2 linked regions of the Saccharomyces cerevisiae S288C genome follow. The protein of the gene in region 1 interacts with the protein of each later gene in a pairwise test. Each region holds a gene or a part of one and is shown on either strand. Other genes may lie near its edges.

Region 1 (16,651 bases):
GATAGTTAGTTGGGTTTTATTTAACAAATAGGTTCCCGAGAAAAAGTTCTAATATTTTCTATTTACCCAATAGTACTACCCCATCAAATAATAGAATCATAGTAATTATCAGTAACAAAATATACAGCCCTCATCAGCAATGTAGTCTCAACAACTGCCCCCAGAATTCACCGCTTTTCTTCGATCGTCAATATGGAAGTGAGGAAACTCGGGCTCACTTAAAACGAACTGCATGTTTTAAAATCATTATCCATGCAAGTGTGGCATAAAAGCCGTAGTTAGATATATCTCAAACGCGCAAAAAGTTAAAAAGAAAGCCCTGTAGGGGGCTCGAACCCCTAACCTTATGATTAAGAGTCATACGCGCTACCGATTGCGCCAACAAGGCTCTTATTGTTGTTTTTCTGATTCTTATGGAGGGATTAGAGAGCAAAGTAAAGTACTTATATGTAATTTAACATTCGATGAACCGCGGATAATTAGTAATATGAAATGGGTGATGTTCATAATGTAGAGAATGTGGATTTTGATGTAATTGTTGGGATTCCATTGTGATTAAGGCTATAATATTAGGTATGTAGATATACTAGAAGTTCTCCTCCAGGATTTAGGAATCCATAAAAGGGAATCTGCAATTCTACACAATTCTATAAATATTATTATCATCGTTTTATATGTTAATATTCATTGATCCTATTACATTATCAATCCTTGCGTTTCAGCTTCCATTGAAAACGATGACTATTTCTCATCATTTGCGTCATCTTCTAACACCGTATATGATAATATACTAGTAACGTAAATACTAGTTAGTAGATGATAGTTGATTTTTATTCCAACACATAATTAGAATTTAAAAGGCAGTATTGGTGAAGATTGAACATTAATTTTCTTATGCTTATATAATAGAGGTATGAACACACGCATATAGGATCATTATATAGTTATGGCTAGTATTATCATGGCTCTGGTAATTTCATACATTTGATGTCGTCACGACTCATATTATTTGCTCATATATATAACTTCCTCATATATATAACTTCCTCATCAAGTTCAATTAATAGATCTTTAGTTCAAATTCAGAACATTCTGAATTTGTCGTTTAACATTTCCTTCTGCAAGAGTACATTCACACTGGAACGTATACGAGGTGTAAATTGGTATACTGTTGGAATAAAAACCAACTATCGTCTATCAAGCGAGGCGCTGAAATCCTACTATTCGCTCGAAAGACCGCTGAACGCAGGAGATTCTTTTTTGATCTTGAATATCATTTGAGTATTTTTGTTCTACATTCTAGTTTTAGGAAAATCATCAATCTATGGCAGGAATCAATAGTGTTGGAATAAGAAATGCATATTTGCCTGCGAAAAAAAGTTATTCTTTTTTTTTGGTTAACGTAGTTAAACTACTCTGTTAAAAATAATGGGTTAAGGTTCATGTTCGTCACATAATGTTTCGTACACTTAAAATTCAAACGCTATCAGTAGCATTACAACGTGTATGAAGATCATTGGAGAAAAGCAGATGGTTAAGAGCTTCTTGCACTGAAATTTGAAAATATTTGTCTGAACTTAGTAGTGAAAAGTGGTGAATGAACCAGGTTTTTATACATAGATATATGGTTAAGTTATGAAAACTCTTTTTGGAAGAACAAATTAGTACAAAGGCTGAGGCGGATTGGTTAAAGTTTTTAAATTAAAAGTGAGCTTCTATTTTGATAAATCACAAATATATAATTTTTAACAGTGATGTATCATCTTCCCATAAATGTAATGACTTCTTCTTATGCTCAGATGATGCTCTGTGAACTAAGTGCGCAGTCCTTCAAACCTTTCCACTCAGGTAATCTTGATAAAGTTTCCAAGATGGTCCATTCTCTGGGTCTCTTACATAAACAAACTTCACTCCGTATTTCTCCACTTCTTTGTTTCTACTTTCATCATCAAATAAACAAATCTTTTTCGATTTTAAATCGCTGGTATTATAAAGATCTTTCAAACCGTCCCTTAAATGGCCAATTTTACTTCTTTCTCCCCACTGAAATTCATCGAACAGGTTGGCCAACGGGGTTACGACACCAGCATACTTGACCTTGAATATTTTCAGTATTTCCTGGGCAATCTCAGGTGCCCACGTTCGTGACGCGGTCATTAACTTAACTCCATTATCTTTAAGATCACCTAGTATACGTGGGATATCTTTGTAGATTGTGAGCTCGTAACCATCTCTACATATAATTGTGAGAACTTCGCCATTACTACTTTTAACTGGCTTAAAGGGACCGTGCAAATGGGTATCACAATAGCAGGGCCAAATGGTGTAGTCCAAATCGAAGGCGGCCACGTCAGGGTATCCAGTCATAATAAACGCGTTGAGACTATTTTGGAGCAGGATTTGTAACAAAATTGTTCTCTTTGTAAGTTTAAGGACAAAAATGCTTGTTTCTCGAGAAGGTCTCCTTTTCGGCAGGTCCTTCTTCTAGTGCGTGAAAAATATTCTACTCAATCCCTTAGTATTCTTTGTAAACAATACACTTTAAAGAAATATGAATGCTTATCTGCTTTTCAACAATCATTTTAGAGTTCTTATTCACTGAGGTGCGAATGGGTACGAAATTTGTTTCAGGAGAATTTAGCTTGTTGCACACAAATTTCTGCCATTTATATCTGCAAGATCTGTTTCCCTCTTTCCAACTAGCGAGGCATATTAGAAAAAGAGTGAATAGTAACTTGTGTAAGTTTTGATGTAACGGTAGTATAGAGTACCTATAATATTCGCCGATTATATTCTCAAAACTTGTAAATAACGCCATGTCACCGTATGGAGAAAGTGCTAACCAAATTGTAATATCGACCAAGACCTTTTTCTGTGAATTATGTAAGTTTCTTAAAGTCCATGTCATGCTTGAAAGATTTTAATCAACCTTGCATTTGTGGTCGTTAAACTCAAAGGGGATATTCAAACGACAATCGACAACTAACTTCGAATAAACTAAGATTCACTTTATTGGGATATAATCAATTACCCTTCATTAAGTGGTGTATATGTTCCTGACGTATTGTCATTTTCGGGATAAGAGGTTTGATGACTATTTCTCGATTTTCATGTCATCCTCTTTACACCGTACGTGATAATACACTAATTACACGATATAACTGAGCAATGATATTTTAGAGCTTCATCTCCACAATTTCATGTGTAAATCTTAAGAATTGTAGATATATTCTATTTTTTAATGAAACTTTTTCAACAAATTAGGTTTCGTGGTCTAGTCGGTTATGGCATCTGCTTAACACGCAGAACGTCCCCAGTTCGATCCTGGGCGAAATCAATTTTTTTTTTCGAAAACGTTATAATTTACGTTAATTTACAAAGGGCATTCCTTTCATACTAAGCAATGTTTACTTCCAATCTCTTGAGACATCTTCGAAACTAGTTGAAAAGAGACAAATCCGCTTAATAACTAATAGTTACAAGAATGGCCAATCAAACTCTTGCCAAGCGATACAAGCTTTACAATCCTGTAACAAAAACATACTTTTAGCGGTTCCGACGGTATTCTTCTTTTTCTCCATATATTTTGCTTATGTTGGCTACTTTAAAATAATTACCGCTTCCCCCACCAGAAACTAAACATGAGCTAAAGGCGCAAAACTTAAAAAATTACATAGCCAAGACTGTTTTCAAGAAAAAAATATCAGACCACATTTGATAAAGTACATACCTCTGTTAACTCCCGTAATACACCCATATTCTTGTACTTTCTACAATCTATCACTCAAACTTCTCTATTATCCAACATCTGCTGTTGCATAGTAAAGTAGGCCGTAAACGCTCAAAACCGTTATCTTTAGGTTACCCTTATGTTTGAATCGTTTATCTCACATTGGCGGTGTTTTCCCCTCTCCTGTGGGCTCCAAAATCTTGGCCGTGGGAAGCTTCAGCGAGGGATTGTAGATGTAGTTTCAACACGTCGGCTGATTTATCCCGATTTTGTTAGTAGAAAAGGTTCTACTTCATTCTTGCTTGAGACGTCGTCCCATCAAATTTCTAACATAGTCTTTTTTCAAGGAAGGATATTTTTCAAAGCAGGACTGCAATTAGTCTTTTCCTTTTCTTTACTCCCCTTCCATCATAACTGTTAGTGAATAACCACTTATATAGCATAACACAATGGATCAAGAAACAATAGACACTGACTACGACGTGATTGTCTTAGGTACCGGTATTACCGAATGTATCTTATCTGGTTTACTCTCTGTAGATGGAAAAAAGGTATTACATATTGACAAGCAAGACCATTATGGTGGCGAAGCTGCTTCTGTGACCTTATCTCAATTGTATGAAAAATTTAAACAAAATCCGATCAGTAAAGAGGAACGGGAGTCCAAGTTTGGTAAAGATAGAGATTGGAATGTCGACTTAATTCCTAAATTCCTGATGGCCAATGGTGAGCTGACAAATATTTTAATACATACCGATGTGACCAGATATGTCGATTTCAAGCAAGTTTCTGGCTCCTACGTTTTTAAGCAAGGCAAAATTTACAAAGTGCCAGCTAATGAAATAGAAGCCATTTCATCGCCATTGATGGGTATTTTTGAAAAACGTAGAATGAAGAAATTTTTAGAATGGATTAGCTCTTACAAAGAAGATGACTTGTCCACTCATCAAGGATTAGACTTAGACAAGAATACCATGGATGAAGTGTATTATAAATTTGGGTTAGGCAATTCTACCAAAGAATTCATCGGTCATGCAATGGCTTTATGGACCAATGATGACTACTTACAACAACCTGCTAGGCCATCGTTTGAGAGGATTTTGTTATATTGCCAAAGTGTTGCCCGTTACGGTAAATCACCTTATTTGTATCCTATGTATGGGTTAGGCGAACTTCCACAAGGATTTGCTCGTTTGTCGGCTATTTACGGTGGTACTTACATGCTAGACACTCCAATTGATGAAGTATTGTATAAAAAAGACACAGGAAAATTTGAAGGGGTCAAGACTAAGCTGGGAACTTTCAAGGCCCCATTGGTTATTGCTGATCCAACTTATTTTCCCGAAAAATGTAAATCTACTGGTCAAAGAGTTATTAGAGCCATCTGTATTCTTAACCATCCAGTTCCGAACACCAGTAACGCGGATTCTTTACAAATTATTATCCCACAAAGCCAACTGGGAAGGAAAAGCGATATATACGTTGCGATTGTTTCAGATGCGCATAACGTTTGCTCCAAGGGTCACTATTTAGCAATTATTTCTACAATCATTGAAACTGATAAACCACATATAGAATTAGAGCCTGCTTTCAAACTTCTGGGACCAATCGAAGAAAAATTCATGGGAATTGCCGAATTATTTGAACCAAGAGAAGACGGCTCTAAGGATAACATTTACTTATCCAGATCATACGACGCATCCTCTCATTTCGAATCCATGACTGACGATGTTAAAGATATTTACTTCAGAGTAACAGGCCACCCATTAGTTCTAAAACAAAGACAAGAACAAGAAAAGCAGTAAATTCATACCTTTACGACTAAAGCAGCAATTGGAGGGTAAACTTATTTTTTCCGATAATGTTCTTGGCAAATGAGTTACCAATAAATGACATGAATTACAGAAAACAAGAAAATATTTGCCAAAAAAAAACCAATACAAAAATATAGGGGAAAAGATTATCCTTTATTCCTTTCTCATTCCACTTTTTTTTTTTGTTATATGCGTATTCTGATTGATTCATAACTAAGTATCTTTCCTTTTCTTTTCTTTCAATTTCTTTTTTCCATATATAAATACATAAATTTACATACCTTATGTAGTATAATATATGGAAGAATGCTACTGAACACATCAGTACACATGCTATGTACTTACAATCTTAGTAAGGTAGATGTAGGTCTAATGCTTCGATGATCCCTTCATTATTTCTTGGGTATAACTGTCAGTCTCGCACCGCAGTGTGCCCTTGTGTGGCCAGCCTCGTGACAAAATGAACATTTTATCTTATTTTTTTTCTTTTTACTACTCTTTTTGCTGGTTACTCCCTGAATAGTGCTCGTAGTTTTATCTGCCTCTTCCTTGGCTTTAATCGGTATCAGGGCATATTTTTGATCGTCTTTTTCCATGATCTCTATTCCATTCCGCAGTACCATGTCAAGAACACTAGTATTCATCATACTTCCCACAGTGCTTTCATGCAATCCCAGTAGTAGGTTAATGAATTTCTCTAATTCTTTCAACTTATGCTCGTACTCAACTTGTAATTGTGATCCATCTTTTTGCTTTGAAATGATCAACTTAGCCAGGACATCCATAGCTTGTGACAATCTGACTATATCATTTTCAGTCTTATTTGATGATTCACACATTCCTTGTTATAACAACCCTCGGTATTCTTTTAACAAACTTACGATGACTATATTGTATTAGTGTCAACCTCATCGCCAGGAACTTTTCATTGAAAATCTTCTGACAAATTTTCTGTGTAAAGGAAAGAAAATGGAGTATAAAATCGAAAGTTTATTCCAATTGTGCTAGGCTGTAATGGCTTTCTGGTGGGATGGGATACGTTGAGAATTCTGGCCGAGGAACAAATCCTTCCTCGCGGCTAGACACGGATTGCACGCCCTTTGGGCAAGGGATAGTTCTCTATTCCGCACCGTGCCCTGTTGTGGCAACCGTCTTTCCTCCGTCGTAAATTTGTCCTGGGCAGAGCTGTCTGCCCGGAGGCGGGAGAGTCCGTTCTGAAGTGTCCCGGCTATAATAAATCGATCTTTGCGGGCAGCCCGTTGGCAGGAGGCGTGAGGAATCCGTCTCTCTGTCTGGTGCGGCAAGGTAGTTCTGGGTCCTTAGGGGCTCCACCTTCACCGCTGTTAGGGGAGTTTTATCCAGCGTCAGCAAAGGTGACCCGTGATGGAGGCGGCCGGGATAGCACATATCAGTCGGATAATTGTGCAAGTTGATCGCTTCGGCGGTTTAATTTGGCGGTGCCATCAGGATTTACTCGCACATTGTGGCCGTTCCCTCGGGGATGGAGTGTGTCCTGAACCATATTTTTTAACATTTTTTTGAACTAATTAACCGTCCCAATGAGGGATGTTGGAAGAGTAAGTTGATTTAATGTCCTATTCTTGTTCTTTTCGAATATAAATGACGATTGGAAGGTGCATGTCAATGTTTATCATCATGTTCTTGTTGTAGGTAGTCCTTACCTTGGTTGTAGAGTGAGTAGCGACAGGCGGCAGCGGAATATAAGAAGGATAAAATGAGAATACTTAGAACGTGTTGAAAGAAGAATAAACGATCATCCATCGACTAGTACTGCTGCTACTAGTGTGCTGTCATACTACTAATATATTATCATATACAATATAAGAAGATGTCATAAACATTGAAAATAGTCATCAAATCTAATGGAAGCTGAAATTCAAGGGTTGATAATGTAATAAAATAAAGAATGACAAAGTATAAAAGGAAGAAGATAGAGTAACATTATTATGTAGAGCTATCAATTCGCTTTTTGTAGATTCCTATTTTTTCTCGAGGAGAATTGCAGCATATTCGTTCCACGTAATATTGCGGCCTTTAACAACAATGTAATTCCAACAATTATCTTAAAATTTGTCTATATTTTTAAAAAAGTATGAACAATTACCAACATGTGGTACATATTGGAGGCCCGCAAAGCTGAGTTGGCATTCATTCATTCTTTAAGTTGAACAAAAAGACAAAAAGATTTTCAAAAAAAATATGGTCTCTAGCGGGATCGAACCGCTGATCCCCGCGTTATTAGCACGGTGCCTTAACCAACTGGGCCAAGAGACCAAATTTTAATGAAATACTTTTACTGGAAAGAAGGTAACAAACCATGGAAGATGCTTTTCTACCACCCATGAAAGTCTGAGATTTTTATTAATGATGTTGGAATAAAAATCAACTATCATCTTGAGAAATGGGTGAATAATTAGATAATTGTTGGGATTCCATTGTTGATAAAGGCTATAATATTAGGTATACAGAATATACTAGAAGTTCTCCTCGAGGATATAGGAATCCTCAAAATGGAATCTATATTTCTACATACTAATATTACGATTATTCCTCATTCCGTTTTATATGTTTATATTCATTGATCCTATTACATTATCAATCCTTGCGTTTCAGCTTCCACTAATTTAGATGACTATTTCTCATCATTTGCGTCATCTTCTAACACCGTATATGATAATATACTAGTAATGTAAATACTAGTTAGTAGATGATAGTTGATTTCTATTCCAACATACCACCCATAATGTAATAGATCTAATGAATCCATTTGTTAGTTAATAGTTTAAATGTTTTTATCGGAAGAGGTTTTGTCATCACATCAGCAATGTTCTTCTTGGTCTCGATGTAGTATACGTATAAATTATTACCTGATACTTCATCTCTAAGTCTCATTGCCTTTGTGCCAAAAAATCTGTTTCTAAATTTCTCTTCATTTGTAGACTTAATTATACTGATCGTTGATCTACTATCAGTAAGTAAGCCTTTAATAATTGGTTTCTTGTTAAGTTCTTGTATCAGGTAACTTAGATTATTTAATAATGGGACAGATTCACTTATCGCGTGTATTTCTGCTTCCGTAGTTGAAGTACATGTTAATGAAGCCTTGGTGGACTTTCCTCCAATTACCTTTCCATTAAGTAAATATATGTTGCCAATTTGTGATTTATAATACGGTTGGTTGCCATACGAAGCATCACTTATTGCGACTAGTTTATTATCTGGCTCGGTAGGTTTGTTTTTGTGCCATATCAGTTGTTTATCTCTAGTGTCCCACATGAATTGTATCAACTCATATGTCATGTCTAAAACTTGCCTAGAGGGGAATAGTATATGTTGAGCAAGTGTGTTGATGTAGTATAGTAAGTCAAATCTAAATTTATATCCAACATATGAAGCTAGACCAATCAACTTTTGCATTTCATGTACCTTCTCTTTGTATTCATCTTCATCTATTTCTAGTTCATCCTGGTCTATATAAAGACCTGGTTGACCTGGAGCGCTAAGTTTTCTTCCTTTTGGATTCAAAGGTACGTTTAATTTGGGTATTTTCTCAGTTAATGAGTTTTCCATACCTAATTTCATGTATTTACCTCTTTGATATTTGATTTCTAAGCCAAGTATGTCGTACTGAATTTCGTTATCACTTTCACCCAGATTTATTATCTTTGTATCGTATTGTTTCTTGAGTGTTGTTATGATTTTCTTATTTGCATTTAAGTCTTTGCTGAATAAAATCATGTCGTCAACAAATAAACATATTGTTACTTGACTATTCTTAAATACGCATGACCATCCACGAACTTCTTCCATACCACACTGTTTTATCAGGTATGATTTGATAGTTTCGTACCAGTTCGCTCCACTTTGTTTCAATCCATAAAGTGATTTCTTCAAACGTATCAACTTATCATTCATTCCTAAATGTGGTGGAGGTCTTATGTATAATTCTTCTTTGATGTCTGCATACAAATATGCCGAAGATATGTCTAATTGTGTAATATAGTAGTTATTGTCTAATGCAAGTGACAGGGATGTCATTAATGCATAGTGATGTACGGTATTGGATTGCATGCCTGAGTCGTAAGTGTCAGGATGCTGAATATCACCTCTTGCAACAAATCTAGCTTTATGAGTACCGTCACGTTTCTTGTTGAAGATAAACATTGAGTTTATTACTCTTTTAGGGTCTATTTCTTTTCTGTCATAATATTCGTCAGTGTCCCAAGTTTTCATCTTCAACAGTTGATTGACTTCTTTGTGGTATGCCTCGATATATTTTTCTTTTTCTTTAATATCTTTATTATAGGTGATTGCCTCATCGTATCGTAAGGTTGTCCGTATTGGTTTGATTGATTTTACTGCTTTTACAGCTGCAATCAGGTGAATTCGTTTCTTCGATCTCGGAGGTTCTAAACTACGCATATTCTTAGTATTCCATGTGTCTCGTGATACCTTAATTTCAGTTTCATTATCTTCTAATGATCTTTTCTTACTGTTGATAGTAGTATAGGCATTAGAGTCACCAATACCACCCAAACTGGAATTAGTTTGATGAGAATTTATCGGTGGGAGTTCTTTAAATGGGTCAGGGAATTCGGTAGGAGATTCTGGAGGTAGATCAGGGAGTGGGAGATCAGCGATGATAGATTCCTCGGTATTCTGTTCAGAAACAGTAGTTGGCGTTTTGATAGGAACAATATTGTGCGATGAATTATTTTCCGGTGGAGAAGCATCGATTGAAGGTGAACGGTGTATAATCCTTTTCTCAGTCTCTTGGTCACTTATCTGCGGAACAGTTTTGTTGTTGGTACCACCCGTACTGGATATTGGTACGTTTGTATGATTAGTCTCATTTTCACTGTACGAGTCTGAGTGTCTGAAATCTTTAGATTTACTGGCGTGCGACGACTCATGTGTGTTAGATTGGGACATGGGAGCAAGTAAAGGAACATTTAATTTATGCATACCACCCGAACCGGTACTCTCGATATTGGAAATTTGGGGGGTGCTAGATCTCTTCTTTGATGGAAGAATATTAGATTCAGATATGTTGGGGTCAACTTCTCTGGGTGCGCGAATATTGGTTTTAGAAACACGTTTCGAATCTTCAGTATGAGTTGACGGAGGTGTGGAATCGGTTGGACTCACAGCTTTTGAAAGGACATTTCTCGGTTGCTCAGGATGTAGTTCGATGTCAGATTGGAAGTCATGGTCAGATTCTATGTTAAGATCATCGGATTGTTGGATCTCATTTGACGCAATGAACGATTGATATGAAGCAGTTAAACGGTTTAAGTCTTCATCGAAAGTGAGTGCGTCGTAATTGAATTGATCTAATCTGGATTCCTTGCCCTGAAGAATAACATAGTTAGTTGTATCTACTGTCTTCTTTAAGGATGGAAGATAGATGATATATCCATAAGAGTTTCGAGACGGATGTAGAGCGTAGCCTGGGATGCCACGAGGATGTATTTTGGAGTTAGGGTTGTGATCATTGACGATAACAGGTTGACCGAAAGGTAACAAAGTACTGATATCAAGTCCTGCCAAGCCAGCATGTTGTCTTGCAGATTTTTTGCTTTTAGGTGAAGCTAGTGAATTTCTCACAATAGTAGAAAATTCGATTGCAGAGAACCATAAATGGTTCGGTAAACCACTACATTGCAGTTGAGTACGGCAGTCATCTAATAAGGTACGGTTGAGCCGTTCAGCGACTCCATGTGCTCGGGAATCCGCTGTGGTTGTATAGCATGGAGTTATACCATTTTTTTCAAGGAATTTATGGAGAGTTCTGTTAGTATACTCAGAACCACGGTCCATTTGTATAACCAAGACACTGGCCTGAAACTGGTTCTTAATAAAAGCTAGTATCGTAGTAAAAACATCGAGGATAGAGTCCTCGCGACGGTCGTGTAATGGATAAACCCAACGGAATTTTGTTGTCTCATCAGTAAATGAGATGAAATAGGATGGTGCACTTTTTGGTAGGTTGTGAACTGGACCAAATATGTCAGTATGTAGGTATTGAAAGGGTTCGTATGAATTTTGGTATTTTAGTCGTGAACCTTTGATATGTCTGTGTTTGGTGCTTTTGCCGATTAAACAATCAGGACATTGATAGTCAATAGCACTAGACCAGTCGACATCTGATTCGTTAAAATACGTGATGGTGTTATTTTTAAGTGAGTATCGAATTGTCTGTGCATTGGCATGTGCAAGCATTCGATGAATGAAAGGATAAGGATATTTGCGTGTACTTTCACTTGTATGGACATTATTGATGGTGGGTACGGAGATATTTGATGGAAGCAAGTACTTTTTAGATACCCAGTAAAAGTCTCCATATTTTACGATAGGTGCAAGTACAGTGCCGTCAGATCGTTCTAAGACGTTTTTGGTAAAGCATGCTGTGATATCTACTGCAGCCAATTCATTCAAACTGAGTAAGTCATAGGCTATGTTAGGAGTGTGCAATACCTTTATTGATGTTTTGGTGTTGTCCTGGAAGTGAAATTGTAGGTCACCAATAGCGTTAATTGGTATATTTCTTTTTTGAGCATCAACTACGTTTATGTCAGGATTAGATGATGCTGAGTGTATGTGATGAGCAGATCTTATAAGGGTTCGTGATGCTCCTGAATCGAGAAGGAGGTGTCCAGGGAGTTCATCATCAGAATGATTAGTGTGATTTACCGTAGATTCAGTAAGTTCCTGGCCTAAGGTGAAGGTCGTGCTTATTGTTCAATTGAATCGGTTCAGTAGTTGATTTACTGATGGAATCGTTGTCCGTGCTGGGAGAGTTATTAGATGTGGATACATTGTGAGCCCTGGCTGTTTTCGATTTCGAATTATTTGTTTTTTGAGGATTCCGAGCTATAACTTTGGGTTTGGTTGTATTCGTATAGCTGCGAGAATCATTCTTCTCATCACTCAGATTTCTCCTGTAATTAGGTTTGCTGTTTCTCGATCCCTGTTGTTCTTCATAAATAGCATGGATATCTAAGAACAGTTCAGCGACTGTCATATTTAGATGTCGATGACGTGTGTAGCGTAAAAATTTATATTCGCCAGATAGACCTCTCATAATTAATTGGCATGCGACCTTGTTATTGATATGAATGCCATTATTGTTCAGTCTGTCGATAATGTTTGTGACTTTTGTTTCAAATGCATCTGCAGGTGTACTGCCATTATATTGCAAATTTGCCAGGGTCACAATGTCGTTTGCCTCTTGGGTATCAGATTGCATTTTTTCAATACTTTTGGAAAGAATTTTCATGATATCCGTATAATCAACGGATAGGATGTCTTTGACCCAGGTAGGTAGGAATTGAGAGGGAGCAAATATTTGAAAAGTGTTATACAAGAAGGTGAGTTCATCATCAGTGATCTGACGTACGGGTTTTCCGTTTACTGTCGGAATAATACCACCGAGATTCGAGTTTTGTAAAAATTTGATGTATGTTTTAACCCAATTTGGAAAGTCATTAGGTGAGGTTAACATTGGTGGTGGTCTGACATATTTTTTAGTGGATGTCATATCAGAGTCCGCTGAGGATGAATCAGTAAATGTATTACCTGACTCAGGTGATGGAGTGCTCAGAGGCGTTCCAACTGATGATGGATACTGCGGAAACTGTGATTGTGGCCCAGGTGGAAAGTACATAGGCGACATTTGATAAGGTGTATACGGAATCATAGATGGGTGTCCGTAAAATGACCAACCAGATGGATTGGCTTGGTTTTGGGTCATCATGCACTGCTGTGGGTACGGCCCATTCTGTGGAGGTGGTACTGAAGCAGGTTGAGGAGAGGCATGATGGGGGTTCTCTGGAACAGCTGATGAAGCAGGTGTTGTTGTCTGTTGAGAGTTAGCCTTAGTGGAAGCCTTCTCACATTCTTCTGTTTTGGAAGCTGAAACGTCTAACGGATCTTGATTTGTGTGGACTTCCTTAGAAGTAACCGAAGCACAGGCGCTACCATGAGAAATGGGTGAATGTTGAGATAATTGTTGGGATTCCATTGTTGATAAAGGCTATAATATTAGGTATACAGAATATACTAGAAGTTCTCCTCGAGGATATAGGAATCCTCAAAATGGAATCTATATTTCTACATACTAATATTACGATTATTCCTCATTCCGTTTTATATGTTTATATTCATTGATCCTATTACATTATCAATCCTTGCGTTTCAGCTTCCACTAATTTAGATGACTATTTCTCATCATTTGCGTCATCTTCTAACACCGTATATGATAATATACTAGTAATGTAAATACTAGTTAGTAGATGATAGTTGATTTCTATTCCAACACATCTACTAACTAGTATTTACGTTACTAGTATATTATCATATACGGTGTTAGAAGATGACGCAAATGATGAGAAATAGTCATCTAAATTAGTGGAAGCTGAAACGCAAGGATTGATAATGTAATAGGATCAATGAATATTAACATATAAAACGATGATAATAATATTTATAGAATTGTGTAGAATTGCAGATTCCCTTTTATGGATTCCTAAATCCTCGAGGAGAACTTCTAGTATATCTACATACCTAATATTATAACCTTAATCACAATGGAATCCCAACAATTACATCAAAATCCACATTCTCTACAAATGAAGAAACTGCTTATAGTCAATTGAACGATTTACCGGTATTTTAACGCCATTATATATATTAGTAAAAAGATGGCGTATATTGATGGACTAACAGGGTCAAATAAAATCATGAATTGACTAGTATATACTTATAAGTATATCGTTCTACACAAACTAGGAAGATGACATACATGATGAGAATTGGTTATCAAATTCCATGGATGCCGAAACGTAAAAGATTTACTAAATAGTAGGATAATTATTGATAACATACAAAACAAAAAAAAAAGAGACAATATTATTATCTAGAAGTGTCGACTTCCTTCTGTGGGTTTCCTATGTTCTCGAAGAGAGCTTCAAGTGTATTCTATAAACTAAGAATATTAGTTTAACGAAAGATCGAAGTCAGACACCTATCTAACTTTCATTAAATTATCACACAAAAATCCCACATACTCTCGTCTTGCTAAACAAATAATAAATTGAAGGTGAACGATTCTTCTTGCAGCGTCCTAGCTGTTGGGTCGTCTTAGATAAATATCTACTGTTCTGAATTGCCAAATTTTCCTTCTATTGTATCCATTCGATGCTGGACGGCCAGTTCTACCGTTATTGCCCAAAAGGAAGGAACGTCGCGATACTTCAACACATTAAATACTTGTTGATTTTCGAACCAAAACTCTGAAGCAACACTTTCGTATATGGATGGCCCTTCAGAGAAACCAATAGGTATGTAAAGAATTGCTACGTGGTGACTCAAAGTGAATTATAGCAAAGTTATAAAAGCGCTACATTGTAGAAAATTGAGAACCACATTTTGACATACACGAATAACAGTATTTTTGTCCTGGCGCTGTAAAGTATTTTAAGTTATGATGATGAATTAACTATTTTCAGCCAATGAAACGTCCATAATCTGTTCTGAATTTAGGTGCATTGATATAGCCGGTCAATCTTCCCTTGTGAAATCACCCAAAATGCTGGGATTATCATTCTCAACAATTTTGATTTGTGCCAACCACTTCGATAAATCATCTTCCAGCTCAGTATCATCTTTTTCTGTAGTCCCACTGTCAGGATTTAATCCTAACTTTTTGAGACCGGATATCAATGATTTAATGTCTTCTTCGGATGCCTTTTCTCTTAGCAACTCTTCAAACAAAGTCACTTTGAAATCTATATCGTGTTTGTCCTGTTCAGGATCTTCAAATAGGTGAACCCCTGTTCTTGCAAATAAAGCTTCATCAGATAGTTGCACTTGATAAAATTGGGAACATCTAAAATGGAACTTACTGCAATAGTGCGACAAATATGCATACGGATTGTTTTCTAATAAAAATTTCTTAGTAGTATCATTCATTGAAAATGGATCACGTATTCTTTCTGGCGATTTACCGCAAAGAGGATATCCGCATCTTTTGTTTAGATTCCTCTCATCTACTAGGTCTTGATACATATCCGGTGTGAGAAATCGGCCCAAATATTTCAATGTTTTCTCATCCTTGCATTCTGAATCACATAATAAGCCTATAATCTCTAAAGTTATAACTTCTGCTTCATGCATGGAAAGTTGCCTGTGCTTTTGGAAAGGGATTAACGCCGTTTCCTTAATATCTTCAATCGTCGCCATTTCTTATTCTTGTTAACTTCGTCCTAATTTTTCAAACTAAGATGCCGATGTATAGATATTTTAGACTGGGAATGTTTATGAATTGTTCAATTCGCTCCTCAATGTGTCTCTTTCTTCACTTTTCCATTGCTTTTGACCACTTCTGGATGCCAGCTGATTTTGTATTGTAGTATTCCTATTTCGGACAAAAATATCGGAAAGAGATGAAATAAGAAAATTAGTTACTTTTAATATCACGATGCTGTCTCTGAATCGACCTGATCGATCTATAAGGTGTATATATTATTCTACCGAGTAATCCAAAAAAAAAGCAGCACTCCCATGCAACACAAGGATACGGCAGTAGCGAAGGACACAGCTAAAAAACGTTTACTGAGAAGAAATAGTGCGCCGTCAGCTATACATATAATTTCACGATTAGACAAAAAGTGGTCCTTCCTATGGAATACTATAGATAGACACAATATTGTTGAAGAGCAAGATGAAAGTAGCGCTGCAAAAAGCGAAGAAGAACATGAGGATGATTATGAATTGGAACAATTACTCAACATGATAAGAATACCAATGTTCCTGGAAAAGTTCATGCTCTTTGCACTTTTAACAAGCTTGGACTGTTTTTTGTATTACTTTACTGTATTACCGATACGACTGATAAAGGGATATGTAAAGCAATTCAAGAGTTATCGTCAGCATTATCGCCTGCAACAACGGTCTGGGCATAAGAATAAAATACCCTTTCGATATAGAATAACTTCAAGAGAATATAAAGAGAGATGTATGATTTTTATCATCGTGATTTCATCCATTTTGTTGAGCAAACTAGACACCTCAAAACTATATCACA
Region 2 (15,841 bases), on another chromosome or scaffold:
AAAATGTCAAAACACCAATTAAAGCATCTCTATATTGACAGATACAAAATATATTTAAGTATACATTCATAATTATTTTACTCGAATTAAAAAAGCCCACTTTTTGGAAACCTCCTTTTGTATTCTCATAACTATGTTTCTTTTTTTATTATTTTTTCTTAATATTATTTTCTTTAAGTATGACAAATGATGAGAATGATAGTTATCTCACTATTTAGTTGGTCTGGCTTGGAATTTCAAAAACAATTTGTTTGCCAGTCAACTTGTTGTAGACAGCTTGGAAAGATTCCAACTTGTAGTCGATTTGTTGAACATCCTTGGAGTCTAACAAAACCTTTTGGATCTTGTTACCACCAACCAAATATCTAACTCTTTTACCGACAATTTCAGTTGGGAAAACCATGTCTTCCAAAACCTTGTCGTGAACAGCAGTCAAAGTTCTGGATCTTGGTCTCTTTTGGACTTGTCTAGATGTTCTAGATGGTTTTGGCAAGATTCTTCTTTCAGCCAAGAAAATAACATGACGGTCAGGGAATTTCTTTTCCAATTCACGGGTCAATTTGGTTTGGACCTTATGGTATGCAGACAAAGCTGGAACTGGGACAAAAAGGACTAGTGCTTTCTTACCACCGGTGACATCAATCTAAACAATAAGAATCAAGCAGCGTTGAAATAAAGTTAGTAACTGAATTGGTTCATTCATAACAAAAAAGGGTTTGTGATTCTTCTCCTTGGGGTAAGGTCTTTTTCGCGTGCTTCTATTTTATTCATCGATATTGGTACTGACCAAGGAGGCCTTTATAGTTCAAAGGCTCATCGCAACGTTCATGGTATTGACAGCTCTCGGAATTACTATTTTTCTCGAACACATGAAAATTTCATACAGATACTGCTCAAAATCACTCTTTTTTGAAAAAATTACTGCAAAGAACCCCTTTAGAAGAAATCACAATGTTGCTGCTTCCAAATTATATAACTTTTAACATACTTCTCTGATAGATTTGATTTGCAATGGTCTCAAGTCAGCCTTTAGTTCTGGAGAGGAGCTTTCTAGATCGATGAAGGTCTTGGCGACTTGTAATTCCAACTCACTTGGAGCTTGGGATAAGATCTTGGATTGGACAGAGGACATTGGTCAGTTATGTGTCTAGTCTTTAGTGTGTTGGTTTCTCTTCTGTTTGTATATACAAAGTCAAATAACACATATTTTAACCATAATCAATAGCATTTGGTATTTCCCCCTCCGCGTATTATGAACGCCTAGTGAGCCCATTCTTCCCTAAAGCCAGGCTGGAAACCCAAACTGTGTGGAACGTGACTGAATTGCATTTGGTGAGTTACCAAGCAAAGGCTCGCAGGCTTGAACCACATTTTACCAGGGCGCTCGCTTTTTCCGAAATATTGAAATTAAGCAAAACAATAATGTACGGATTTAAAGAGGTACGGATGGAGACCGTAGAAAATTGACTTTTTTTTTTTTTTTGTTATTTTCTGTGCCTTTCGTAACTACTACTATGCAGAATGACAGGTAGTTGTTGTTTCGAATTGCTACTTTCACGCATTCAACTTGATCAACATTTCTCTCTGATGAAAGGTTGTGGAAAGTTTGGTCGTGTCTATAAGTAGGTGTTTTTTATTAGTTCTATATAAAAATGGAGAATGTTAATTTTAACCCACCCTAAAACAGTGATTAGGAGTGGTAATAATTTTTTGTTTAATGGATTAAAACTAAAGGTTCATCTGTACTTTCAGAAAGTAAGACACTAAAAATGGCAAGCTAACAACCATTAGCGGGTATTGCAGCATTAAGAAAAATGAAACACACTCCATTTGGATTGGCGCAGTTGTTTCTGGCGGCGTAAAACTGGCGGTGAAATATATAAGGGTAGTCATCGTTGGCAAGTTCCAGCTGATTGCTATAACAAATAGTAGCATTCTATCATCTTGCCAATTAACCCATCCAGCTTTCACTAACCGATCACACCATAGGACACCAAAAATTGGCATGACACATTGTCTCAAAATGACGAGTGTCACAGCGGCTTTCCAAAATCCAGGATAAAGGTTGCCAATCTTTAATCTTCCTAAAGTTGCTCCTAATAATATCAACCCAAATGGAACACATGCGGCACCGACATAACCTGTAAAATCCATGAAAAAGCTTAATGGTGGTGCATTGTCAGGAGCTTGGCTTATGTGAGGAGTATTAGCGGTAGTCACGAACAAAGCCTTGACCCATGGGATAAATGCAACAGTTAGGGCGATGATCACGGCCATAGAGCACGGTCTCAAACAATTCTTTAGGAAAAACACAAGTAATGGAGTTAATGAAAATTTTCTCATCCACTGTGGTAATGATTCGCCGGATGTTTCAATATCCTTTTTACTTACAGTGGCATCTGATGTTAAGATCCTGGTTAGGTTAGCAGTTTTTATAGTCTGTAAAGTGGAATTTGAGCTAATTGAATGCACATCATTCATATCAGCGCCGCGTAAACTGGAATTCCTCCTTTGATGACCATACTGGTCAACGTTGGAGTACTCTCTGATAAGATGGTGTATATTTTGAGAAGGTAATGCACGCATATCAATGGAGCGGATAGGTTCCAATGCCGCCATAGACATATTTTTTGGGCATTTTTCATCTAAACAGTTCTCTTCTAGGAGTGTGGTAGTATTGTAAGCTCTCGGCTGGCTCGCGGTTCTACGTGCTCTCATAGTATCTATGCTACTCTCATAACTCTCTGACGTATTATAAGAATGTATTGTTGAAGCAGATGATTGGCTATCTAATGGATTTGAACCACGAGTTGCCTGTGACTCTTCGCTTTGAGTGCACGCAATAGTATTTCTTGCCTTCACCTGAACTGGTTTTGTAATCTTTGAATTCGAAGAAGTGTCTGGTAGTGACAGGGGAGCTATACTATTTGTTGATCTCCTTGAAATTGGTGGTACGTCTGCGTTTTCACCCTTTGTACCTATAGCTTCAGTGAGACTATCGCGAGCGGTGTACTTATTGTTGAAAAGCTGTTGTTCGTTTGAGAAGAAACGCTCGCTAGTATCTGTATTAGTTGTGTTTGCACTTACTGCGGGCTGTGTCTTTGTCGTTTCTGAAACCCTAACGGCGCTTTCATCGTCGTTGTACTCGAAATCGCTTTCAATCAGTCGAAACCCCCCCAAATTGAAAATGCAAATTAGAAACATTGTCAGAAATATAATGACGTTAGCCACACCTTTGTTACCTTCTTCTTCCGAAAATACAAGCCCTTGGTCCATAGATTGTAAATATGCAATTGGTAAATCACTTATATTTGGAAACATACCACCGGCAAGAATACCACCGTACCATTGTTTAGGAACAGGCAGGAATAGCCTAACAACGTATGCAAAAAAGAACCCAGAACCAAATATTAGGAGGGCAGACAGACAGATAATTCCCACAGATTTGATGTCTTTATCTTCAATATTAGCGACAATCTTGTTGAATGACAGAGAGGGTAGTAAAACTGTTAGCACGATATCAGAAATAATTCTTGTTGCTTCAACCGTAAGAATTCCCATTTTAGCCATCAGAAAGCCGACTCCTATAATCAAATAAATCTTGATTATCGGCTTAACTGACACCCATATCGCTTGACCCAGAGTAATGTGCACCATCTGATGAAAATTTGAGGTTTCAATCCCTTTCTCTGTTTGATTCTATAACTTCTCCAAAAAAATTGCGCTGACGCTAATTAGTCACTGTTTATATCTTTTTTAGCGATGATTTGTAACAATATGCCATAAAAGCGTTCTCTAACTGCGGAAGTGATGAGAATTGAATAGTTTTATTCAGAAGGCAATATATCCTAATATGGCACAAAAAGGCAACTTGTATGCACAAAATGAGCATAAGAGTTCAGGCAGAACGTTGTGCTCTTGATCCAAAGGTTAAAAGTCATCGAGTAGGAAGATATTGTAACCTTCGCGCAAACCGCAGCCGCAGCGGGTCACGTGGTCGCGCAAATGATGATGAGGGCGCGGTCTAACTTTCCAAACGAGGTTACCAACAATTCTCGGACAGATAAAGCATTAGAATAGGGTGGCAACGCCTTTACGGTTAGCTTGTTCATTGTGATTGGTTTGTGTATCTTTTCTTGGCTTTTTATGCCCACGAGACATAAAGTATACGAAGCTGTTATACTATTCGTGATCCAGGGCAAAAATTTAGCATCATTAAGGCATATATATCGCAAATAGTGGGTTGCACAAGGCTTTCAATAAACAGTGTCATATGTTTCTCTAGCTCTGTCGGTTTGTTGGCTATAAAGAGTTTGTCTAGTAATCGCCGTCTTTTCTTGGGACCATTAACACAGACAAGGACATTGAAACTTGGCTATAAGTTCCGTCAAAGGGGGAAAAAATTGCTTTGGAGAAGGAATAAAAAGATGAATAGTCAAGGTTACGATGAAAGCTCTTCCTCTACTGCTGCTACTAGCGGTCCTACTTCTGGAGACCCACGAATGGGTAAGAAACAACGGTTTATGAATCTCATAAGAACCACAAAGGATGTTTATATTCCTAACCTGACGTCATCCATTTCTCAAAAGACAATGGATGGCATCAGGAGCACTACGAATTCCTTCGAAGGTTATAATGACTTGCCTATGGAATTGCCACATAATACCACGATAACATATTTTCCAACGTATACCACAACTAATTTGGTTGACCCTGACGGTTTGAGTGCGCCTCGGAAAGATTTTGAAACTACTGTCAGATGTGCTGTTTCTTATCCAGGAAATCCTACAAGCAGGAGAAATAGGTGGTTGCTTTCTCTTTGTAAACAATATCTTAGAACTGGAACGGCGGAGGCCGATGTTGCACCTGTTGTTCCCCCTCATCTCGAAGAGGATTCTGGAGATTTAAACGACTCCCAATCAAGTATAGAAAGTTCTTTGTCTTCAAAGAGCGAAAATAGGTATTCACATATGGGCATCCAAGAGGAAGATGTTCTGAATGAGAGAATTCAAGGATTCCTGTCCAAAAAAGTTCCTAATACTCCAGTGGTGGTTGACCTATTGCCCAAAGATAAGCTCAGAGGGGATACGGCTTCCTTTTTTGGTACCACGGACTCTTATGGTAATTTACTAATCAAGGCAGAAACAGATTTTTTACCGTCCAAGATTAATATTACATTAGATACCCCTATAGAAGGCCATGCAGATCCCATATCTGAAACATTTCCGGCCAATTATGTCTCGCCCTACGGTATTGGTTTAATCAGTGATATTGACGACACCATCAAGCATACTGGCGTTACGGGTGACAGGAGATCGATGTTTCGTAATGTTTTCATCCATGATGTTCAATCGTGGGTAATAGATGGTGTTCCTCTTTGGTACAAAACTTTACATGATGTCGCAGACGTTGATTTCTTTTATGTTTCTAATTCACCCATCCAAACTTTTACTCTTTTGAAACAATATATTTGCGCCAATTTTCCTCCGGGTCCAATTTTTTTGAAACAATACTCTGGTAATTTCTTTTCCACTATCATGACTTCAAGTGCGAATAGAAAAATTCAGCCGATTGCAAATATCTTAAAGGATTTTCCCAAAAAAAAATTTATTTTGGTCGGTGATTCTGGTGAACATGACTTAGAAGCGTATACCACTACGGCTTTACAATTTCCGAACCAGATTCTGGCTATTTATATAAGATGTTGCTCTAATTCCATGAGTGATGTCCCATCGCATGATGAAGAAGTTATGAATGAAGTGAACAATATCATCGAATTACAACAACGGCCCATGCAAATGACCAAGTCTACCGTACGTACCAGGAGAAGACCACCACCACCTCCCATTCCTTCCACTCAAAAGCCATCGTTGACAGAAGAGCAAACCGAAAGTATAAGAATGTCACGCCGTAATAAAGATGAGAACAATGCTAAAAGAGTTGCCCCACCACCGTTGCCGAACAGACAGTTACCTAACTTAGACGCTAATACTTACTATGTACCATCCTCACAAAATGACTATGGCATGTATGGTGCTTTCATGGATAAAAAAGCAGATGAATGGAAGAGAAGAGTAATGGACTCAATTCAAAAATTGAGCAATCAAGACACCACATTGATGTTCTTTTCGGATCCGGCATTAAGTTTGGAAGACAGTATTCGCAGAATTAGGGAGAAGTATTCAAACTAAATACACTGTTATTTATATACATCGGGAGGGAGTTTAAAAATTGTATACACTAAAGTGACCTTATGAATTGGAGCCATTTTCAACGTTTTAGAGTGATGTTGCATCCTTTTCATCAGATCGGGAAATTAAAAAAACGGTTATAGAAGGGCTAAATGTAAATATGTAAATTTTATGAAGTCAAGAGTAAAGAAAATCTTCGGTTGCCGATCAAATACACTCTTACAAAATACCCTAAACTCAGTTTATCTTTCCATTCCAACTGATTATCGCGTACGCCTTGGTGACCAACCATACCCTAAAATGTCAATTTCCGGGGCGGAAGGGGTCCTTAAACTGCAAAGCCTCTTCCCATGTAAATAAAATAAATCCGTAGAATTTATTAAATATTGTCATATTATAAGTCGGGAAAGGCCTTCTGAATGCACGTATATTGACCAAATAGAGTTAGATTCAAATTATTTATTACATTTTTTCAGCATCGAAGTTAAGTAGAATGGATAAACATACAGCAGCTATTCCAACATTAACTATCAAAGTAGTCTTACTCGGAGAATCTGCTGTCGGGAAGTCCTCAATAGTCCTCAGGTTTGTATCTGACGATTTTAAAGAGAGCAAAGAACCTACTATTGGTGCCGCATTTTTAACAAAGAGAATTACAAGGGATGGCAAGGTCATTAAATTTGAAATATGGGATACGGCAGGCCAGGAGAGATTTGCTCCTTTAGCGCCTATGTACTACAGAAATGCTCAAGCTGCTTTGGTAGTTTTTGATGTTACTAATGAAGGGTCTTTTTATAAGGCTCAAAACTGGGTCGAAGAACTACACGAGAAGGTAGGACATGATATCGTTATTGCCTTGGTGGGGAACAAAATGGATTTGCTGAATAATGATGACGAGAATGAAAATAGGGCTATGAAAGCACCAGCTGTACAAAATCTCTGTGAAAGAGAGAACCTCTTATATTTCGAAGCAAGCGCTAAGACTGGTGAGAATATTTACCAGATATTTCAAACATTAGGCGAAAAAGTACCATGTCCTGAACAAAATACACGACAAAGCTCTACTCATGATCGCACAATTACCGATAATCAACGAATCGATCTCGAATCAACGACTGTAGAAAGTACTAGGGAGACTGGGGGTTGTAACTGCTAAACTGCAAGCAAAACAACAGCAAACGCGGCATATTCAGCGTCTTAGCGAAGCTTGCCATTGAAAAGAACAGTTCGTAACAACAGCTGGAAGAATAGTACTGGAAATTTTCAATTACTTTTGCAAAACAAGCACTTTTTTGTTTCACTTCCATTAGCCGCAAGAAATACACTTTTTTTAGGGGCGGGAATTTTCATCGCCAGATCGAGAATCACAAGGCCTTTACGTACTATAGTTTGTAATTTATACAAAATCAGCTACTGTTATTTTGGTGTACCAGCGGCAAAAATTGGTGAGGATCTGAAAATTAATTAGAGGTGAACACATATCAGTAATTTTGACTATGGACGAGAATGAATTTGATAATCAAAGGGAGAATAAAGCTGTAGCTCGAGTGATCATATCATTTCTTAAGTATGAAGAGTATGCCCTAAAGGAAATCTACAATTTGAGAGTGAAAAAATGGGCATCGATCTCAGATCGTCAAAAAGACATGGTACCAAACTATACAAAATATTTAGCTAATCTGAAAGCCGCAATTATAGAAAATGGCAAGTTCTTTAGAAGTGTCGCCGAATATGCCCTGCAATCAATAAGTTTTGAGCCAGGAGAAATCGTACAACCAAACGATTTAGATATGAGTAAAACATGCTCTTTACTTACGCAAGTTTATAGGGAGTGGTCCGCAGAGGCCATTTCTGAACGTAATTGCTTAAATTCGAGGCTTGTACCGTTTTTGAAGACCCTATCACCCCCAAAAGCCGACATTTTGATACCGGGTTGCGGCACAGGACGCCTTCTCGTGGATCTTAGCAGAATGGGCTATAATTGTGAAGGTAACGAATTTTCATATCACATGCTGCTTGTATCTCAATACATGTTGAATGCAGGATTACTCCAAAACCAAATTATTATCTATCCCTTCATACACTGTTTCTCCCACTGGAAAAAAATTGAAGATCAGTTGTCTCCCATTAAGGTGCCGGACATAGAAGCGTGGTCTTCAAATAAAGGTATGGGGTCCATGTCGATATGTGCTGGCTCGTTTGTTGATTGTTATGGTCGTAATCAAGGCACAAAAATCTCGTCACATTATACATTTTCGCGAAGGATGCAACTAAGTAGAGCAAAAGCTGAAAACTCCAAAGACGTTGTAGTAACAAACTTTTTTATAGATACGGGATCCAACATCTTGGATTATTTGGATACTATTGGCCACGTCTTGAAGCCAGGCGGAATCTGGTGCAATTTCGGCCCATTGCTTTATCATTTTGAAAATGACCATGGGGTTGAAACTACCTACGAAGTTAACCCTTACTCTGGGTTTCAAGATAAAATCAATGACTATACACCACTGATGGGTTTAGAGCTTTCTAGCGATGATATCATAAGCATTGCCACAAATCATCTGGACTTTGAATTAATACGGAGAGAGTCAGGAATACTTTGTGGGTATGGCCGCTACGCGGGTCCAGAAAGTTGCGCCATGCCTGGATACATGTGCCACTATTGGATCCTGAAGTCGAACCCCACCAATGAATCATAAGCTTACACAATAATCTAATTGCACTATATAGAAGTTGCTGACACAGCCGTTTTAGAGAACTCAGAATGTTACCCGCGCGGAAAATTCTTTTTGCTCCCTCTCGCTATGTTCTGTTTACCATATTGACAGTACTGGTTATCAGCCTAGATCCAGTAATACATAAAGCCCTCAATTTGAACTATATATCAAAGCTAGAAGAAGAGTGATTTGTCATAATTGATTCACTTTATAAGCTCCTTTATCGTTTCAGTTTCCAGGTGCATTTATCGCTTAAGGCCATTACTTTCAACAATAAGCAATCTTTATAAGTGAAAAATTGGGGAAATTGCCAAAGATGCCCCCAAACTCCAAGAGTAAGAGAAGAAAGAACAAATCCAAGCAACACAACAAGAAAAATGGCAACTCTGATCCTGAACAAAGTATAAATCCTACACAGCTAGTACCTCGAATGGAGCCAGAGTTGTATCATACAGAATCGGATTACCCAACTTCAAGAGTAATAAAAAGAGCGCCCAATGGCGATGTCATCGTGGAACCAATAAATACAGACGATGATAAGAAAGAACGTACGGCGAACTTGACTCATAATAAGGATAGTATGGATTCTGCTTCTTCCTTAGCTTTTACTCTAGATTCTCACTGGGAATCATTATCGCCAGAAGAAAAGAAAACTATTCTACGAATCGAAAAGGAGGAAGTATTTAATGTCATAAGGAATTACCAGGACGATCATAGTTGTAGTTGCTCTGTTTGTGGACGCCGCCATTTAGCAATGGATCAAGAAATGGAGCGTATATACAATACACTTTATGCCATGGATAAGGATAAAGACCCTGAAACCAATCCTATCAAATTCCACTTAGGCATAATAAAGGAGCTACAGATTTCCAAAAATCAACAGCAAAATGATTTATCTTCTACAAAGGGCGAAGTTGTAAAAAATTTCCTTTCGTCAAGTACAGTTGGCTCTTTGAAAGAGGAAGTGCTGCATTTCAAACAAAAGCAACTTTCAAAACAAGAACAAGCGCATAATGAAACGGCGGATAATACCTCATTACTTGAAGAAAATTTGAACAATATACACATCAACAAAACTTCTAGTGAAATTTCCGCAAATTTCAATTCTGTGAGCGATGAAGAGTTGCAACAAAAATATTCCAACTTCACAAAAACGTTTATTTCATCACATCCCAAAATAGCAGAGGAGTATGTACAAAAAATGATGATGTATCCGAATATTAGAGCACTGACTGATGACTTAATGAATAGTAACGGGCAAGGATTTCTTAATGCAATCGAAGACTTTGTGCGAGATGGCCAGATACAAGCATCGAAAAAAGACGACAGCATCACTGAAGATGAAGCATCTAGTACAGATTTGACTGATCCAAAGGAGTTTACCACAATGCTGCATAGTGGAAAACCACTTACAGAAGATGAGTATGCCGACCTCCAGCGCAACATTGCTGAAAGGATGACTAATGCGTACGATACCGCAAGTAAGAAATTCAAAGATGTGTCACAATTAGAGAAGGAGCTATTTACACGATTCATGTCGGGGAGAGACAAAAAATCTTTCAGAGAGTTGATAATTCAATCCTTTAAAAATAAATTTGATGGGGAATTAGGTCCATCCGTTCTAGCAGCCACTTTAAGCTCGTGCTTTTCATCTCAATCGAAGGATACTTCGTTAGATACTGATTCTATATATGAAGATGAAGATGAGGAAGACTATGATGACTATTCAGAATATGCTGAAGATAGCGAAGAGGTTTCTGAGTATGAAGGAATAGAGGCAGTCGAAAAACCAGAGCATGATGAAAAAAGCAACGGGATACGTGAAACATTACATTTAAGTTATGACCACGATCATAAACGACAGAACCACCCTCACCATCACTACCATAGTACCAGTACCCACAGCGAAGATGAACTGAGTGAAGAAGAGTATATTTCCGATATAGAATTACCGCATGATCCTCATAAGCACTTTCACCGCGATGATGATATATTAGATGGGGATGAAGATGAGCCAGAGGAAGAGGATGAAAATGAAGGCGATGACGAAGAAGATACTTATGACAGCGGTCTTGATGAAACTGACCGTTTAGAAGAAGGTCGGAAATTGATTCAGATAGCCATTACAAAGTTGCTTCAAAGTCGAATAATGGCTTCTTATCATGAGAAACAGGCAGATAATAACAGACTAAAACTTCTACAAGAACTAGAAGAAGAAAAAAGAAAGAAAAGAGAGAAGGAAGAAAAAAAGCAGAAAAAAAGAGAAAAAGAGAAAGAAAAGAAGAGGCTGCAACAGTTAGCTAAAGAGGAAGAAAAACGAAAAAGGGAAGAAGAGAAAGAAAGGCTAAAGAAGGAATTAGAAGAGCGTGAAATGAGAAGACGAGAGGCTCAAAGGAAAAAGGTTGAAGAAGCCAAACGGAAGAAAGACGAGGAGAGAAAGCGTAGATTGGAAGAGCAGCAGCGGAGAGAAGAAATGCAAGAAAAACAACGGAAACAGAAAGAGGAACTAAAACGCAAGAGGGAAGAAGAAAAGAAACGTATTAGAGAACAGAAAAGGCTAGAACAAGAAAAGCTACAGAAAGAAAAAGAAGAAGAAGAGAGACAAAGATTAATTGCAGAGGATGCGCTAAGAAAACAGAAATTAAACGAAGAACAAACATCTGCGAACATACTTTCCGCCAAACCTTTTACTGAGAATGGAGTTGGCAACCCTGTTTCATCTCAATCACATCCCAACATGACTAACTACCAAGAGGATAATAGTTGCAGTATCAACGATGAAATACTTAAAATGGTTAATAGCGTGGCTGCATCCAAACCAGTTTCACCCACAGGCTTTAACGTTCATGATCTACTTCTTCCTTCAACTAACAACCAGATGCCTGCTATGGAACAATCACACTTGCCACAGCCAGGTAATCAAAACAACCATTTTGGAACTACAACTATTCCGAATGCGTTAGACTTGGCTACAAAATCTTCTTTACAGACTGAAAACAACTATTTAATGAACTCACAAACTCTGGAAAATACAAGTCTATTGATGCATAATAATTCATCGCCAACTAAGCTATTGCCAAATGACTTTGGTTTATCATCTTGGGGTGGTCTGACAAATACAATGTCCATAAATCCTACATGTAAACCACCGGTTATTCAAACTTCAGAAATGGAATCACAAGCCCATAAATCTAGTCCTCAAGCTACAATGCCATCTTTTGGACTACCTAATGGTGGTACTCACCGTAAATCGTTTACCGACGAGTTGAACACTTTAACTAGCATGCTTTCTTCTTCCGGGTTCGCAGATACATCACTTTCATCATCAGGATTCCCCCCATCACAGCGTTCTGTGTGGAATGATCAAAAAAGCTCATTTTCGGGACCGTCGACTGCAGGAAACTTTAACAACAGCAGTATACAAAGCGGTATGCTGCTCGCACCTACATTAGGAAGCGTTGAATCGTTTCCAAATCGAACTTCTATCTGGGACAGCAGCACCACTCCGATGATGAATAAATCCGAGCTTTCCGGTCGCAATATAACTAGTACTGCGCAAGATAGCCCTGCGTTCATGGCATCAAATATCTGGTCTAGTAACAGTCAATACAATTCACCATATTTGACTAGCAACGTCCTTCAATCCCCTCAAATTTCGAGTGGAGTGGATGAAAGCCACATTCTGGATAGCATCTACAATACTTATTTAGCTATTTCCCCACAAGATAGTTTAAACCCCTACATTGCTATCGGGACACTATTCCAAAATTTAGTAGGACTTAACTTGGATTACTCGACGTTTATCAACAAATTGATAAGCATGCAAGGAGCCTACAATTGCGAATTCTTTACTGATAACAATGGATCCATTACCCACGTTCGATTTGCGAGACAAACTCCCGCTGGCCACTCAAAGGGGTTGCTGAATCAACTCTTTAGTGGATTGAACGATCCAACTGCTACACCATTTACGTCAAGGCCTCATACCTCCACAAGGGCTAGTTTTCCAATTGCCTCTTCAACTACGCAAACGTCTTAAATTTGCTCCGGTACGCAGGGCCAAAAATATTTACATACATACATAATTCGACGAAATTTCAGAAGAGACACTAAACAATCGTACATCTCTCTACTCGATGTGAGCCACGCGTCGGTTTTTCTTACCGTCGTGGCTTTAGAGGTGAGGCTGCGACACCCCATACATCTTACCCGGCATTTAATTTCCATTTTTCGCAGGAATGTGAATATGATAATAGACTTCGGTACACTCTTTTTTAGGTATAACATATATCAATTGTTCAACAACAATTATTCAAAGCGCAACTCTCCAAAGGTAGTTATTCTGATAATTTGAACCAAAAGTCCCCAGATTAAGTCTTAATTAAACTGCCCTTGCATACCGCTGTAAACGATTTGTGTGCAGACATCAATTGCTGAAACGTTCTGCTTTGGTTGTGCTTTTGATCCCGTACTATGTCTGAAAAGGCCGTTAGAAGGAAACTTGTTATTATTGGTGATGGTGCTTGTGGCAAGACCTCTTTACTATATGTATTTACATTAGGAAAATTCCCTGAACAATATCATCCGACAGTGTTCGAGAATTATGTCACTGATTGCAGAGTTGACGGAATAAAAGTGTCCTTAACGCTCTGGGATACAGCGGGACAAGAGGAATATGAACGTTTACGTCCATTCTCATATTCAAAAGCAGATATAATATTAATTGGGTTTGCTGTAGACAATTTTGAATCACTAATTAACGCAAGGACGAAATGGGCGGATGAGGCATTACGATATTGTCCTGACGCACCAATCGTTCTTGTAGGCTTGAAAAAAGATTTGAGGCAAGAAGCCCATTTTAAAGAGAATGCTACCGATGAAATGGTTCCCATTGAAGATGCAAAACAAGTTGCAAGGGCCATTGGGGCCAAGAAATACATGGAATGTAGTGCACTGACTGGTGAGGGTGTGGATGATGTCTTTGAAGTAGCTACAAGAACCAGTTTGCTTATGAAGAAGGAACCAGGGGCTAACTGTTGCATAATTTTATAAAAAAAACTTACACTGAAATGATACATTATCTTTTTAGCAAGGGAGGGAAAAACAATACCGTATTATAATTTTAATCAAATTTCATAGATATAATGGAATAAGTTAAAAAGGCTTATCGATAGTGCATGTATAAAACACAAACCCATTCGATATGTTTGTTCGTTAATGTCCTACAGATTCTTATTCGAGAGCCTTTACCAGAAGCAAAATTTCCGACGGATATAAGAAAATGGCACATCAAACCATAGCTCAAGGTACTGCGCCGATGAGCTAAACGGAACTGCCTAGTTTGATTATTTTTCGTTTATATACTTATTTACTTATTTACGCTATTTGTATTCGAATTCCTTACGAGGCGATGAGTGAAAGACGCGCCAGTAGGACGCGTCTTTTTTTTTTCAGTATAATGTAAACATATTATTGAATTGCCGAAGGAGACAAAAAGAAAAGAAAAGAGGAGATCATCTTTCATATAATCCAACCACGTCGTAGAGCAAACCACGACAATTTTAACTTTCTGTTTCAGTTAAAGGAGTTTATAACGACCAGCACGGCTAACCATGTCAACTGAACCGGTAAGCGCCTCTGATAAATATCAGAAAATTTCTCAACTGGAACATATCTTAAAAAGACCAGACACTTATATCGGTTCTGTTGAAACTCAAGAGCAGCTGCAATGGATATACGATGAAGAGACCGATTGCATGATTGAAAAAAATGTCACAATTGTACCAGGGTTGTTCAAAATCTTTGATGAAATCTTAGTCAATGCGGCAGATAATAAAGTTCGTGATCCATCGATGAAACGAATCGATGTAAACATACATGCTGAGGAACATACTATAGAAGTGAAAAATGATGGAAAAGGTATTCCCATAGAGATTCATAACAAGGAGAATATTTATATTCCTGAAATGATATTTGGTCATTTGTTGACATCATCCAATTATGATGATGATGAGAAGAAAGTCACTGGTGGTAGAAACGGTTATGGTGCTAAGCTTTGTAATATATTTTCCACTGAATTCATATTAGAAACTGCAGATCTAAATGTTGGCCAGAAATATGTTCAAAAATGGGAAAATAACATGAGCATTTGCCACCCCCCAAAAATAACATCTTACAAGAAGGGTCCATCATATACAAAGGTGACATTTAAGCCGGATTTAACCAGATTCGGAATGAAAGAGCTAGATAATGATATCTTAGGAGTGATGCGAAGAAGAGTTTATGATATCAATGGTTCTGTTCGTGACATTAATGTCTATCTGAATGGCAAGTCCTTAAAGATAAGAAATTTCAAAAATTATGTTGAACTCTACTTGAAATCACTCGAAAAAAAAAGACAACTAGATAACGGTGAGGACGGTGCCGCTAAGTCTGATATCCCGACTATTCTTTATGAGAGAATAAACAACAGATGGGAAGTTGCTTTTGCGGTTTCTGATATCTCTTTTCAACAAATTTCTTTTGTGAATTCCATTGCAACTACCATGGGTGGTACCCATGTCAATTACATAACAGACCAAATTGTAAAAAAAATTTCAGAAATTTTGAAGAAAAAGAAGAAAAAAAGTGTGAAGTCTTTTCAGATTAAAAATAATATGTTCATTTTCATTAATTGTTTGATTGAGAATCCTGCATTTACCTCACAAACAAAAGAGCAACTGACAACAAGAGTCAAAGATTTTGGGTCCCGTTGTGAGATTCCTCTTGAATATATTAATAAGATTATGAAAACTGATTTGGCTACAAGAATGTTTGAAATTGCCGACGCAAATGAAGAAAATGCGCTAAAGAAGTCTGATGGTACAAGGAAAAGCAGAATTACTAATTACCCTAAACTGGAAGATGCCAACAAAGCCGGTACAAAAGAAGGCT

What was found.
Region 2: the proteins of GDI1 (region 1) and YPT53 interact in a two-hybrid assay, tested with the Saccharomyces cerevisiae proteins (2 studies listed by BioGRID).

Annotation. Positions count from the first base shown.
Region 1 is NC_001137.3:435,437-452,087, forward strand, and holds GDI1 (Gdi1p), read left to right. Parts: upstream 1-4,179; coding exon 4,180-5,535; downstream 5,536-16,651. Other genes in the region: YER134C (Mg-dependent acid phosphatase), read right to left, coding at 1,831-2,367; YER135C (uncharacterized protein), read right to left, coding at 2,516-2,908; YER137C (uncharacterized protein), read right to left, coding at 5,937-6,383; YER137C-A (gag protein), read right to left, coding at 12,266-13,588; YER138W-A (uncharacterized protein), read left to right, coding at 14,038-14,142; RNA polymerase II subunit B1 CTD phosphatase RTR1, read right to left, coding at 15,127-15,807; EMP65 (Emp65p), read left to right, coding at 16,129-16,651. UniProt on the Saccharomyces cerevisiae protein: Regulates the GDP/GTP exchange reaction of SEC4 by inhibiting the dissociation of GDP from it, and the subsequent binding of GTP to SEC4. Plays an essential role in the yeast secretory pathway.
Region 2 is NC_001146.8:443,184-459,024, forward strand, and holds YPT53 (Rab family GTPase YPT53), read left to right. Parts: upstream 1-6,684; coding exon 6,685-7,347; downstream 7,348-15,841. Other genes in the region: 40S ribosomal protein eS7 RPS7B, read right to left, coding at 215-643, 989-1,132; YNL095C (uncharacterized protein), read right to left, coding at 1,729-3,657; phosphatidate phosphatase APP1, read left to right, coding at 4,428-6,191; YNL092W (S-adenosylmethionine-dependent methyltransferase), read left to right, coding at 7,688-8,890; NST1 (Nst1p), read left to right, coding at 9,225-12,947; Rho family GTPase RHO2, read left to right, coding at 13,382-13,960; TOP2 (DNA topoisomerase 2), read left to right, coding at 14,521-15,841. UniProt on the Saccharomyces cerevisiae protein: Required for transport in the endocytic pathway and for correct sorting of the vacuolar hydrolases suggesting a possible intersection of the endocytic with the vacuolar sorting pathway.